2 linked regions of the Schizosaccharomyces pombe genome follow. The main gene of each other region encodes a partner of the protein of the gene in region 2 in a complex. Each region holds a gene or a part of one and is shown on either strand. Other genes may lie near its edges.

What was found.
Region 1: cog4 (region 2) and cog2 share a complex: the UniProt entries of both Schizosaccharomyces pombe proteins name them as parts of the conserved oligomeric Golgi complex.

What each region holds. Positions count from the first base shown.
Region 1 is NC_003423.3:853,026-860,532, forward strand, and holds cog2 (COG complex subunit Cog2), read right to left. Parts: upstream 5,304-7,507; 5' UTR 5,195-5,303; coding exon 4,880-5,194; intron 4,818-4,879; coding exon 4,737-4,817; intron 4,686-4,736; coding exon 4,506-4,685; 3' UTR 4,368-4,505; coding exon of another isoform or gene 606-4,367; 3' UTR 501-605; downstream 1-500. Other genes in the region: spo9 (ER farnesyl pyrophosphate synthetase Erg20), read right to left, coding at 1-28, 78-212; elp1 (elongator subunit Iki3), read left to right, coding at 606-4,367; U2 snRNP-associated protein sap61, read left to right, coding at 5,463-5,662, 5,715-6,859, 6,915-7,048. UniProt on the Schizosaccharomyces pombe protein: Required for normal Golgi morphology and function.
Region 2 is NC_003421.2:1,350,947-1,356,539, forward strand, and holds cog4 (COG complex subunit Cog4), read right to left. Parts: upstream 3,500-5,593; 5' UTR 3,264-3,499; coding exon 1,047-3,263; 3' UTR 528-1,046; downstream 1-527. Other genes in the region: ado1 (adenosine kinase), read right to left, coding at 1-138; proteinase B inhibitor Pbi2, read right to left, coding at 4,330-4,563; efm2 (methyltransferase Rrg1), read left to right, coding at 5,380-5,593. UniProt on the Schizosaccharomyces pombe protein: Component of the peripheral membrane COG complex that is involved in intra-Golgi protein trafficking. COG is located at the cis-Golgi, and regulates tethering of retrograde intra-Golgi vesicles and possibly a number of other membrane trafficking events.

The sequences.
Region 1 (7,507 bases), on a different chromosome or scaffold from region 2:
TTCCTCCTAACGTATTTCTCTTTATGGACTAAATGAAGGTTAGCTGTCGCGTTATAAAGGCAAGATAATCAACTTACATATAACAGCTTCTCGGTTTCTTCGGGGAAGTATTGCATGCTTTCTAAGATTTCACGAATTCCTTCGAGAACGACTGGGAAGAAATCTAGAAGTCTTTTCTTAATGCCATTTTTTTCATTAAAATCGTTGACCATTTTAGTATTTTTAATTGTACATGTATAAGAACCAGCTTGGTATAAGACTGAGAACTAGCACAGGTCTTCTATGAGAAAATATTATTTAAAATGACAAATAACCACAATTCTTGAATATAAAATTTGCAAATTACGCGTGAAAGCGCGTTACAAATTTATCTCGTTTTTAAGAATCAAGTATATCGATCAAAAACACTATACTTATTTGAAACATCTATTTGGTCCTAAATTTTCAAGACAATTAGGATGTTTATCTAATGCTTAAAGTTTAGTAGAAATATAGATTTAGGACTCCTTTGGTGGTGAGGGCAAACCATATTGCCTTCGCGCTCGCAACGCAAAATTGAGGATTACTGGCGTTCATGATGCTTCACCAGCAATAGCACACACACCATGAAAAATTTGGTAACACACCTGCATCATGTTTTTCCAAATGTAAATGGCTCAATTAAAGCCTTGGCTTTTAACAGTATAAGTGATAAAATTTACGTGGTTTGTGGTTTGGATAATGAGAATCCTGGGATCGAGATATATGAAATATCTGAAAATGACGATGTCTCAAAATTAGTTGAATTTGATTCTCCCTCTTTCGTTTCAGATAATGGGGACATTGATGAGATTCAAAGCATGCAGTTTCTTGGAGAACCCATGGCTATATGTTTATCATTGAAAGGAGGTGACATTGTGATGGTAAAAGTAGACCCATCGCCTGAGGAAGCGCCTTGGGAAATAATTGGCAATGTTGAGAATGGCATTGTTGCTTCATGTTGGTCAACTGATGAACAGGTTTTTTGTATCATAACGGGTGGAGATACTATTTTGTTTATGACTAAAAATTTTGATATCATTTCAGAAACTTCTCTATCTGATGCGGATTTGAATGAATTTAATAAGCATATTTCTGTTGGTTGGGGTCGTTCTGAAACCCAGTTTCGAGGAAAACGAGTTCGTGCTAAATTACGAGATCCTACGCTTCCTGAGAAAATAGATGAGGGTAAACTTTCTGATGTTGACGATGGCAAAACTTATATTTGCTGGCGTGGTGATAGTCAGTATGTTTCTATAAACCGTCTGGAAAAGGGACCACGTCGTGCTATTCGTGTTTATTCTCGTGAAGGTTTGTTGGATAGTATTAGTGAGCCACAAGATGGGCAACAAAGTTTGCTTTCATGGAAACCATCTGGATCCGTTTTAGCAACAATTAAGTCAGATAGTTCCGATAATTCCTCTAAAGTCATCTTTTTTGAACGCAATGGACTCCGTCATGGAGAATTTTCGTTACGTCGAAGGGAAGACGAAAAGTATACTGGATTGGCTTGGAATGTTTCATCATCAATTCTGGCCGTTTCGACCGAAAATTCAGTGATGCTTTGGACAACCGGTAATTATCATTGGTATTTAAAGAAAGAAATCAACATTCCTCAAAATGCATTAATTAGTTGGCATCCAGAGCATGCCAATACGCTTTACATAACTGGAAAAAATCACATAGAAAAAGTGGTTTTTGACCTCAAATATGTAACAGAATTTTCTACTTCTCCAAACGATTTTGGCCTCATACCTGTCATCGATGGCTCTTCGCTGTTGGTCACACCGTTGTCTTTGTGTAATATTCCCCCTCCTATGTGTCGTTATAAATTGTCTTTAGACTATAATGTACAAATGACTTCGATAAACGCAACATCTGACATGCTTTTTGCTGCTGATGATAGGCGCTTGACGGCGTTTACTTTTAACTCACAAGAAGATATTGCTAAATTTGGAGAATTCGATATCTCGACGTATGCTGAAGGTCTGAATTTTAAAAGTCTTCTTGGTTTATCAGGAAATCAGGTTCTGTTGTTGGCAGATGGCACAAATAACTGTTCAAAGTTTTTTGTTTTTCAATGTGACGAAGACAATGAGTCCTTGAAACTTTTGGCTTCCGAAAGTTTCGAAAGTTGCATACTTAATGCCTCCTACTGTTCGGAAATGCTATTTTTTCAAACTTCAAGTGGAAAACTTATAAGTTACAATTTGAATGTAAAATCAATTGAATCCATTTCTTTGTCGTTTCCCAAACCCTGTTCTGATTTTGTTGTAGTTCCTGTCCATGAAACCTTTGTTCCTATAGGTCTCACTTCGTATGGCAGGTTGTATGCTGAGCAAAGACTATTGAGCACAGGCGTCTTATCGTTTTTCTGCACCGAAAGATTTGTATTATTTACAACAACTAAAAATCTACTTAAATTTGTACACTTGGTTTCTACCGTTGATGATCTGCAAGTTGTAGAAGACGATGCTGTGGATCGACACGATGAGCGATGCCGCGTGGTTGAAAGAGGGTCGAAAATTGTTGCCAGTATGCCTTCGAAAATGGCAGTGGTTTTACAAATGCCTAGAGGAAATTTAGAAACCATTTACCCTAGAATTATGGTTCTTGACGGAGTACGTACGTATATTAAAGCTTTAAAATACGGTGATGCTTTCAAGGTTTGCCGCACTCATCGTCTTGATTTAAATATACTATTTGATTATGACCCAGATTTATTTTTGAAAAATATTCCTGTTTTTGTAGATGGGCTGTACCGTGTCGATTATTTAGACTTGTTTCTCACTTCTTTAAAGCCTGAAAACGTTACTACAGGGATGTACAGTGATACATCCAAGTCACAGTCTCAGCAATCTGTCACTACCATTGACAATAAAGTTAATTTATTGTGCAAGATTATTCGCGAACATCTGACTTCAAAATACGGTGATACACATTTTCAAGCAATAATTACTTCCTATCTTTGCGAAAGCCCTCCAAAAATTGAAGCAGCTTTAGGCATGATATCTGGACTAATTAAGGCTCAGTCTGAAACCGTAGATCTGGCAATCGAGCACATGTGCTTCTTGGTCGACGTCAATATGTTATTTGATCATGCATTAGGGCTGTATGATCTAAAATTAGCCCTTTTAATTGCCCAGCAGTCTCAAAAAGATCCTCGTGAATATGTCCCATTTTTACATGAATTTCAAAAACAGGAATCACTTCGCAGGAAGTTTAATATAGATTGTTATCTGAAGCGGTATGAGCGAGCACTAGGACATCTAAAGGAAATGGAAAATGCGTTTGATGAATTCAAAAACTTTACTATTCAACATAAGCTGTACCCTCGAGCATTAGAGTTATACAAGTATGACAAGGAAGCTCAAAAGGAGGTTTTAATTATATTTGCACAATACCTTCGAGAAAATGGTAAATCAAACGAAGCTGCAATTGCTTATGAATCTGTTGGAAAGATCAGTGAAGCCATCGAGGCGTATAAAAGCGCCGGAATGTGGAGGGAATGCTTGTCCATTTTACAGCAGACTACAAATTCAGAAGATTTAATCCGGGAAACTGCTGAAGATTTGGCTAGCTTGTGTATTGAGAAACGGGAACATTGTGATGCAGGTAGCATCAACTTACTATACCTTTCGAATCCAAGAGAGGCAGTCATTCAAATGTGCAAAGGTTCACAATATTCTGAAGCGATTCGGATTGCTCGCGCCACCGGTGATTCATCTATATATAAGGACTTACTAATTTCCGTTCTTGGGGAGTCATTTGGTGAAGCTAGTGAATTGGTTGCCGACTTTAGAAACCAAATCAAGTCACAAACCGAAAGAATATTAGTGCTTAGAGAGAAGAAAAAAGAAGATCCTATTAGTTGGATGGAGGGGACTATGGAGGACCAAACGCCTGATGACATCTCACTAGCATCTACAAGTCTCTCAACAAACAGGTCTTTATATACGCAATACACCAAGAGTAGCAACTCGTCTAAAATGACAAGAAACACGTCAAAGAACAACCGACGTTTAGAGAGAAAACGCGCGAGAGGAAAAAAGGGAACAGTATTCGAAGAAGAGTACCTTGTCAATTCCTTACGGAGGTTGATCGCTCGTGTTGAAGAAATTCGACCTGAGGTGCATCGTTTGCTCGAAGCACTAGTACGCTGTAATATGACCACCCAGGCTTCAGAACTTCAACGTAATTTTGCAAATGTTATAGGTACTATTGGTGAGAAAGTTATTCCCATTCTTTCTGTTCCTGTTAGCACCTTTGAGACTGCTCTTGGAGAACAACCACAAGCACCGGTTGTTCCAAACGTTAAACCTTTTGAAAAATTGAGTATTTTAATATAGGGTTAGGATTGGTTTTGGATAAATGGGGAAATTTTTTCATTTACATATAGATTTACATTTAGTATATCTTCAATATTTATACAAAAGCTTAGATACGTAAATCCTGGAACAAAATAGTTAAGCAGAAACTGTTAAACACTAATGCTTAATGTAGTTAATTAGAGTAGGTGAAATAGATTGTACCCATGGATGATCTTTATATGTATCACATAAACGTTGAGCATTGTTAAGACTTTCAAGCCAAAGTGGATGTGATGAATCATTACTTTTGAGGAATTTTAATATTTGGTCAAGTAAAAGCAAATTAGAAGCAATTAGCTAGATGTATTAGCATAATGACCAACTTATTTGGGACTTGCGTTATTTTACCTTTTCGTTTTCAACGTCTTGTTTGTGCTTCAAATTATTTTGAATTTCAGTTGAATGCCCGATTAAGGATTGCTTCGAATTCTTTAAGCGAACTGTTAGTAGACTGAAACTAAAAATATAGTGTTTGTAGTTATTTGTATTACCTTTAATTGCTCTTCTGAACGATGTATTGAAGAAATCAGGGTACTAACTTTAGTATTTCCGCTCTTCATTCTGCTTCCAAGGTGAACAAAATCTTGGTAGTTATCTTTTACTAGTAGCATTAATTCATTATTGACCTGCTCAAACAGTCGACTTAATTCATTTACTAAACCATCAAGACCTAAAAATCTTTTGGAAACAAGAAATTCATCGGGTGAAAACGGTCCATCTTTACGAAGTTCTTCTGTGTTTAAATAAGCATCCGATAAAAACGCGTCAACCAAGTCAGAACCACTATCTGCGTCTTTTTCAGTCATGGTAAATAAGGAAAATGCACGATCGTTAATGTAGAACTTTGAAGTACAAATCTACTACCATCTCTAGTAAATCATGGAAGATGAATTTCGATTAGTAGAACAGCACGATGATGGACTAATATGCAAACAACGATGGATATATAGTAAATGATTATGTTGTTAGACACTACATGCATGTTGATTTAGTGCAACTCAACGTATTACTCTAGCGAAGCAATTGCAGCATAAATTCTTCTAAACACCAGTAAATTAAGTTAAAACTTTACAAATGTCAGAAAGCGTGCTCGAGACTGAAAGGTACGCGCACGAAGAGCTAGAAAGGCTGCAACAAGCTATTGTTGATAGACAAGTTGCCAACCCTAAGGCTCCTCGTGAACGGCTTCGGCTTGAGCATCAGAGTGCACAATTTCTTAACCAATTTCGCGAAACTAGCAAAAAGTTGTTAGTTTCCCATGAATCCTCTGATCGGTAAGTAAAATCAAGAAAATTGTAGTATTGACCGCTAACTTGAATTCGCTAGATTAAAGGATCAAGAAGTTGCGCGTATCAATGCAGACGATGATTTAACAGAGTTTTATAAATCGCTGGGAGAGATCCAAGAGTTTCACAAAAAATATCCTGATCATAAAGTTGAGGATCTGAGTCAATTATATTCCATAAAGCCTTCTCAACCCGGGATTGACGAGATTGACACGTTATTTCGAGGTGAAGAGATGTATGGTCGATTTATGGATCTTAACGAATGTTACGAAGAATATATAAACTTAAGCAATGTACAGCATATTTCTTACTTAGAATATTTGAAAAATTTGGAGGATTTTGATCAAATCCCCAAGCCTGAAAAAAATCAAACATATATCAACTATATAACTCATTTATACGAATACTTGGTGTCCTTTTATCGCCGGACACACCCTCTGTCAAACTTGGATAAGATTATTGCGGTTTTTGATACTGAATTCGACGCAGCATGGGAAGCTGGACTTCCTGGTTGGTATTCACACAACGCTGAAGCCGAAAAAGATGGGAAAGACTCGACGGAAGCATTTTATTGTGAAGTTTGTCAAAAGTTTTTTGGGAAGATCACTGTATTTGAAGCTCACAAAAAGAGCAAAGCACATAATAAGGCCGTTAAGAGGATGCAGTCTTCTAGTCCATCTACCACAAGTAATACGAACGAGAAGCAAAAAGGACCTAAAGCGATTGCCCGTATCGAGTTTTTAATAAAAAAGTTAACGTCTTTGCTTGACGATGTTCGAAAGGATACTCGTGAAAATGTTGTTCGTCGACAAACTTTGACGGCTGCAGAACGTTTGGCAGAAGTAGAGGCTGCGGAAAGAGAAGCCTTTGAACAATCGACTCCAAGCGTAAGTGTTGAGGGAAATCAGGATGAGGAAAGTGATCAGGATGATGAGGAAAAGATATATAACCCTTTGAAGCTGCCATTGGGATGGGATGGTAAACCTATTCCATTCTGGCTTTGGAAACTCCATGGCCTTGGTAAAGAGTTTCCCTGTGAAATTTGTGGAAATTACGTGTATATGGGTAGAAAGGCATTTGATAAACACTTTACTGAACAAAGGCACATATACGGGTTAAAATGTTTAGGAATATCACCTTCACCTTTATTCAATCAGATTACTTCTATTGATGAAGCTTTGCAACGTAAGAAAAAAATGATTGTATTTGGTGAGTTTATGTTACTAACGAAAATTTTTAGTTTGGCAAAAGTACAAGGTGGACTCAAAGAAGCGGGAAACCACAATGGCGTCTCTCAATGAAATGGAAGATGACGAAGGTAATGTGATGTCTGAAAAGGTTTACAACGATTTAAAGGCCCAAGGTTTATTATAAATAACGTACATGACTCAATTTTTGTAGTCGTGTAAGTGTACATTAAAGAAATAAAAAATTGATATTTTCTTCCTACTTGAGTTATAAAATGCTGAGCATGCTCCTTTATTCTTCTTTGCGTTACATACCGAAGCAAACGAAAAGAGAAAACATGAAAGCTAAAAGGCATACTATTTTGAATTCTCGTGACACAGCATGTTTTGATCTTTTATTTCCCCCCTTTCTTTTTGATTGCGAAATTTTTGATAGTTTCTCATAGCACTGCTCAACGATAGATCTCCTCCCGGCATTTTGACGATCTAAGGCCCAGTTGGGTTTGATTGAAATTCTAGAGTTCTGTTATCTTTTACGTATACGCTTCTACGGGCTAGTTAGTGTTTGATGTAGCAAATGCTATAATTTTCTCAAGCATAATAAAACAATGAGTCTTGTGCATTATCACCGTATTAAAAAAAAAAA
Region 2 (5,593 bases):
GTAGATACCCATCTGGCTCTCAGAAGCTAAGACGGCGTCGTTGCTCTTCAAGCCATACTTTTCAAGAGTTGCAGTTTCACCACCAACATAGTAATCCAACAGAGGGTTTTCCAAACCAAACAAGATGTATGAAGACATGATAAATGATTGTAGTAAGGGAAGGGAAAAAGTTAAAGAAAAACCACGAGAAAATACACCAACAGGTAAAGTATCTTAATGTTCAAAGAGCGATATTATGGCATAATTGTAATGCGTTATATTATTAATACTATACTGCGTTAAATATCGATACATGCCATATGGTCTGTTTATCTTTCGCTATATATTGTATGGTAAAGGCATACTATTTTTAATAAACTATTAAAATTTGAGCAGCTAAAAAAATTATCAATATAAGCATAACTGTACAAGCATCCTCAATTTCAGTTATTAGCTATATTGGTGAAAAATATAATACTATGTAACTGAAGATTGACAGTGTATGTTACTTATTGTACCTGTATACTGGAATTCTAGGTCACAACTAATACTCATCGCAATTTTAACCTTCATTAAACTGATTGCAAACTGCATAATTAAACGATATAAACTGTATCACACTCCTTTGCGCCTCGGTATATTATAATCACAATACTTATTTAAGAAGGCCGATCACGAGAAAAATTAGAACTAATAAAGATTAAAAGAGTCGATATTTGATGCTATATACAATTGGTCATGAATATTAACTCCATTCCTGTATTATTTTTTTAACAAAGGGGTTGCTTCAACTTTTAGCGGAAAACTTATCAAAGTGTGGAAGAAATAATAAACTAAGATAAATGATGATCGAGTTGCACTGCGTCAGGGTAGCCGGTTGTCAAAATTTTCAATATACGAATAAAGAAATAAAAACAAAAATAGAGTGAAAAAAAAATAGATATCGGCATCATGCTAAACGTGGAGACGATGATCCGCCGTTTTTTAGGATAAATTTAGGATATGACAGGAGATTACAACTAAAGAACTTTTGGTGCTTCTTCAAATATCCTGAATAAAAAAGGTCGTTAATCTTCACCTTGAACATTCGCTTTCTTTTCCATAATAGCGCTAACAATATCTATGGATAGTAGCTGTAGGTTTAAATCGTTGATCAATTGCTCTGGGGCTGTAGAATCACTTTCCCATACTAATAAGATTAGAATTTCTTGCAAACGCTCAAAGCTATGTCGGAGATTAGCTTGATCATTGGAAAAGATAGTAATTAAGCTAGAAATGTCGTTTTCTAATGCCATAGCACCATAATCATTCCACTGAATCTTATATAGTATGAGGTTTTCTATATAACTTGCAGCTTTCTCGCATGCCATAGAGCGTAAAGAAAGCTGATTTTCAGGAGTAAATTGCTCCAGCAACAAAACCCTGTCCCAAACGCTGCGAAGACGGGTAACTACCAGTCTTTCATGTTCTGTCTCCTTCGTATAGTCTTCATAGGACAAGACATAGTTGATTCCATCAAAGGAATCATCGATGCATTGCTCAATTCGGGGTAATAAAAATATCGGAAAGTACATGTTGAAAGAAGTCTTGCAAAGATTTTCAAAATTAACGGTTAGCTGCAAAAAATTATCAATCGATTTCTTTACCAATTTTTGGTCTTTGGCAAAGGCAAAAACTTCTTCCAACCGACTAGAAACACCATCCACAATTGATTTTAGATATTGCTTGCTGAGTGAAGCACTATTTACCAATGTTATGTAGTTTTCGACTTGTTTGGCGGGAATGCTATTTGCATTCTTTAGCCTCTGGAACTGAGCTTTTATAATGTTACAGACAGTTAAAAGATTATGGGAAAGGTAGACATAGTAATCATTTCTTAAAATAGGGATTAAGCTTTCGTTAACAAATCTGGTGAAGAATAAAGAGGAGACTGTAAAAAACGCACGTTGGAATACTTGCTTCGTAACGTACATGACATCGTCTACAATAGAGCTCATCCATGGGGAAACCTTTGTGTAATATTCCTCAAGTTCCAAAGACGTTTCTATACTTCTCCTGAAATAGTATGTTTCTAATTGTAATAAGGATGGAAGAAGTTGCTTTTTTAACAGAAGTTCCATCTTTGAAGAATTGAAAATAGATGCACAAATAAGATTGTCCTGGACAGATGGATCATTCGAAGTACCATCAGATTGGGACAATCGAAGGACAAGACGGCTAATAAATATTTTTGAGATATTCCATTTGGAGACAATGGCTGACATTTCATTCAAAATCGGATGTAGCGTTTGAAGAGAGACCCTTTCTAATTCCTTTTGATCCGAAACAAAGGCACGATTTTTCAACTTCGCATGTAACAAAATGTATTTGTAAGAAGCTATAGAGCTTACGAGGTTATCAATTCTTCTCACGTCAAACATGGTATTCACGATAATGGAACCTTGGCGATCACAATCACCTTGCAATTTTTCAATAACGGTGATGGTGTTTTTGGCCTTGTAATATTTTTGAACAAGAGGCGTATGTGCGCGTATGATAGAAGCAACATGCTCGACCAGTCCGGTAAATGCCTGTGCAAAAAAAAGAGCATGAGTAGGGGGCTCATCGAGAGTGGCCCTAGCTTTAGAAGCAATAATTCCACCAAAAAAATGCCAATAAGCTTCTAATCCTTCCTTTTCTTTGCCGATCAAAGGGAAGAGTTTGAAGTAACGAGTGATTTCTTTTTGATCCTGATTTCGGGCGGCCTTATGGAATTCCCGCCAAAAGAGAGTGTGTAGAGATTCGGTGATTTCTTTTAAGGTGTCCATGGGCGCTAAAGGTTGCTCAGCTGTGGGAACAACGGCATGTGCAAATTTCCCTTCGATGATAGCCGGCGATGTGGAGCTTGCTCGATGTACTAAATCAGCTGCTTTTTCCCATTGTTGGTGATGCATAGCTCTGTTGAGATCCTGCAAACATTCTTTGAAATCTCGGACTTGACGAACAAATAAAAGACACTCTTTTATACGATTCTGTTCTCTATCGACCGATTTGATTCTCTCAATGACCTCCTCGCTAACGATAGTGGTATTGCAAAAAGCATCTTTAAGCTCTTCAATCTGACCTACAAACAGCACTAGACGTTCTGCCATATTCTTGATTAAAGAATTGAACTTCTCAGTCGGCTGTGCATCGCTTAGCAGCCTTTCCAGCTTTTCGTCGGTTCGTTGGGATTCGACTTGTAAGTCATGAAACCGTTGTTTAATTTGCGAGATATCAGTGCAGTCATTGATGGATATGTCCATTGTACACTCATTAAATAAAGAAAGACTAAAACGCGTTCGCAAATTATCTCAAAAAATCTACGAGGTTGTGAATATTAACCGCGCAAAATAACAATTAAAAAACTCAAAGTAAGAGTGAAAGAAACCAAAGTAAGGGTTGTCGTCAGTTGATTTTCGAATTAATTAATTTTTAAATAAATTAGTAAACCTTGCAACGTCTCCCATTCAACTTGCCAAATGCCGCACAATTGACTCCTACTAAAAAAAGAGTTACTGAGTGCATTGCAAATGGTCAACTTTACGATATCATACTATTCCAGTAACTAATAATTAACGAGACGATAAATATCATTATTTGACAGAACGCAACATCGCAGACTCTAATAGCGAGAGTTCGCTGTTGTTCTTTAAATGTTTGATGTGAGGCAGGAAATATAGGAGAGTATATTTTGTTGTGCAATCATTCATTCTTATAGTACAACTGTAATAAAAAGTCATGGAAGAGCAATTTCCAAAAGCTGTATTTTAAAAATTTACGGTTTTCTGCTACGCCTCGTTGTTAAATACAAATCCATGTTTTTCGAAATTTCAGCATATTTGTCACCAATGTGATGGCCAAACAACAACTCACAAAGAAGGTAGTCTATGTTAAACATCTCAGTTCTACCTAAAACATACTCATGTATACCCCCTTCTAAGAATTGCTTCTCTTTTTCTTTATTTATTTATTTTCACCTTGAATCCTTTACTCGATTTCCCACTGCTGTACCAATATTCCTCTCCTCGTCCAAACAACTAGATCTTTATGGAAGTTACTACTGGGAAGCGAATATTACTAAGACATTACAAAAATGTGTGTACTATTTTACGGTCGAATTGGTCGACACAAAGAAATGGTAAAACGCGACCGACCTACTAATTAATTCTAAAAAAAATCATCAAATTAACAATTGGTATTTGTTTGATCATAACGATGTATATGAAATGTCATAAAGTACTTGAGTGTAGAAACGCATGCGTGCGACGAGTGACGAGCTCAACTATAAGCAATTGATATGGAGGCGAAACTTTCTGTAAGGAGAGAAATCTAATCCTTCTTCATAGTATGCATCTCTTGGTCAGGCTCAAAATGTTGAATTTCAGGATGAGCAGACAAAGCATCTACTGCATTCTCAGGAAGAGAAACGCTGAATCCCTTAAATACGGTATCATAAGTATGACCAATTTTAGCACCAGATGCCTCTAAATCAGATTTTATTTTATCCATCGATGCAGGATCAACAGAATCTTTCAATTGAACGATATACGACTTTTGACTCATGGCGAAATAACGAAGGCGAAAAAAACAAGGAAAGTAGCGTTTCAGATTTTTTAGCTGTACTTAAAATTCACTTAATTGTCAAAAAATGAACAAGCTTATGTAGTACAGATAAGAAGGAATTGAGCGCAAAGGGGAAAAGGCTGGTTTATATAGCATTCGCCATGTGCATTACGTAGGTCAGCTTATCTAAATAGAACGGTTGTGCACATTGCTTGCTTAGCCAATTTATTAGCTCTTTCTCTTTCAGTATACTTTTTAACGAAAGTCAAAAGAACTTTGGTAAAATAAATAACAAAATATATATTACATTTTCGTATTGTACATTGAGAAGGCTATTGCATTTGCATATAGGGACACAATATTCCTCATTATTCCTTTTTTTCACGCAGTGTAGACAACGCGGTCTGGAAAAGACATACATCCATTGGAATTGAGTTGTATTTTTGGGATAGGCGGTTGAGTGAGAATGAAATTGAGAAATTAGATGCTTTAATAACCAGTGCTTTTAAATTGCTTCTTGCTTTTTGATCAACACCGTGATTTCACTCCTGCGAGGTACATGTTACCTAGCTTTGATCTAATTTGAAAAGTTGGACTCATGGATGGTAAAGAGAGAAATTTCGTTTTATCCATACTTAATCATAGTATGTCTCTCACGCATACTCTCACATAGGTAGTTAATTGGGATTCTCATTTGTTTAAAATTTAGCTGGTTTGCAAAGGAAAACAGGTTGACTCCTGTCTTTTTTGGGTCTTTGGGATTTCTTTTGTTTTTGCTTTTTCGTCTCTGGTTTTGGGTATTTTAAAAAAATCACAATGATTTTAGAAGACACGGATCTACCTTTAAGTCACGAACAGCCTTCTTACTCTCAAATTAAAGATGTTTTGGACAAAATTCCTACTGGGGAGCACTTGTGGGACCTTCCTAAGTATGAGGAGAAAATAATCCTCAATTGGCTTATCAAGCTCTTAGCTACAAATTTGGAATGGATCACAGTTGAAGAGGAACGAGACTATTTGGTTAGCACGA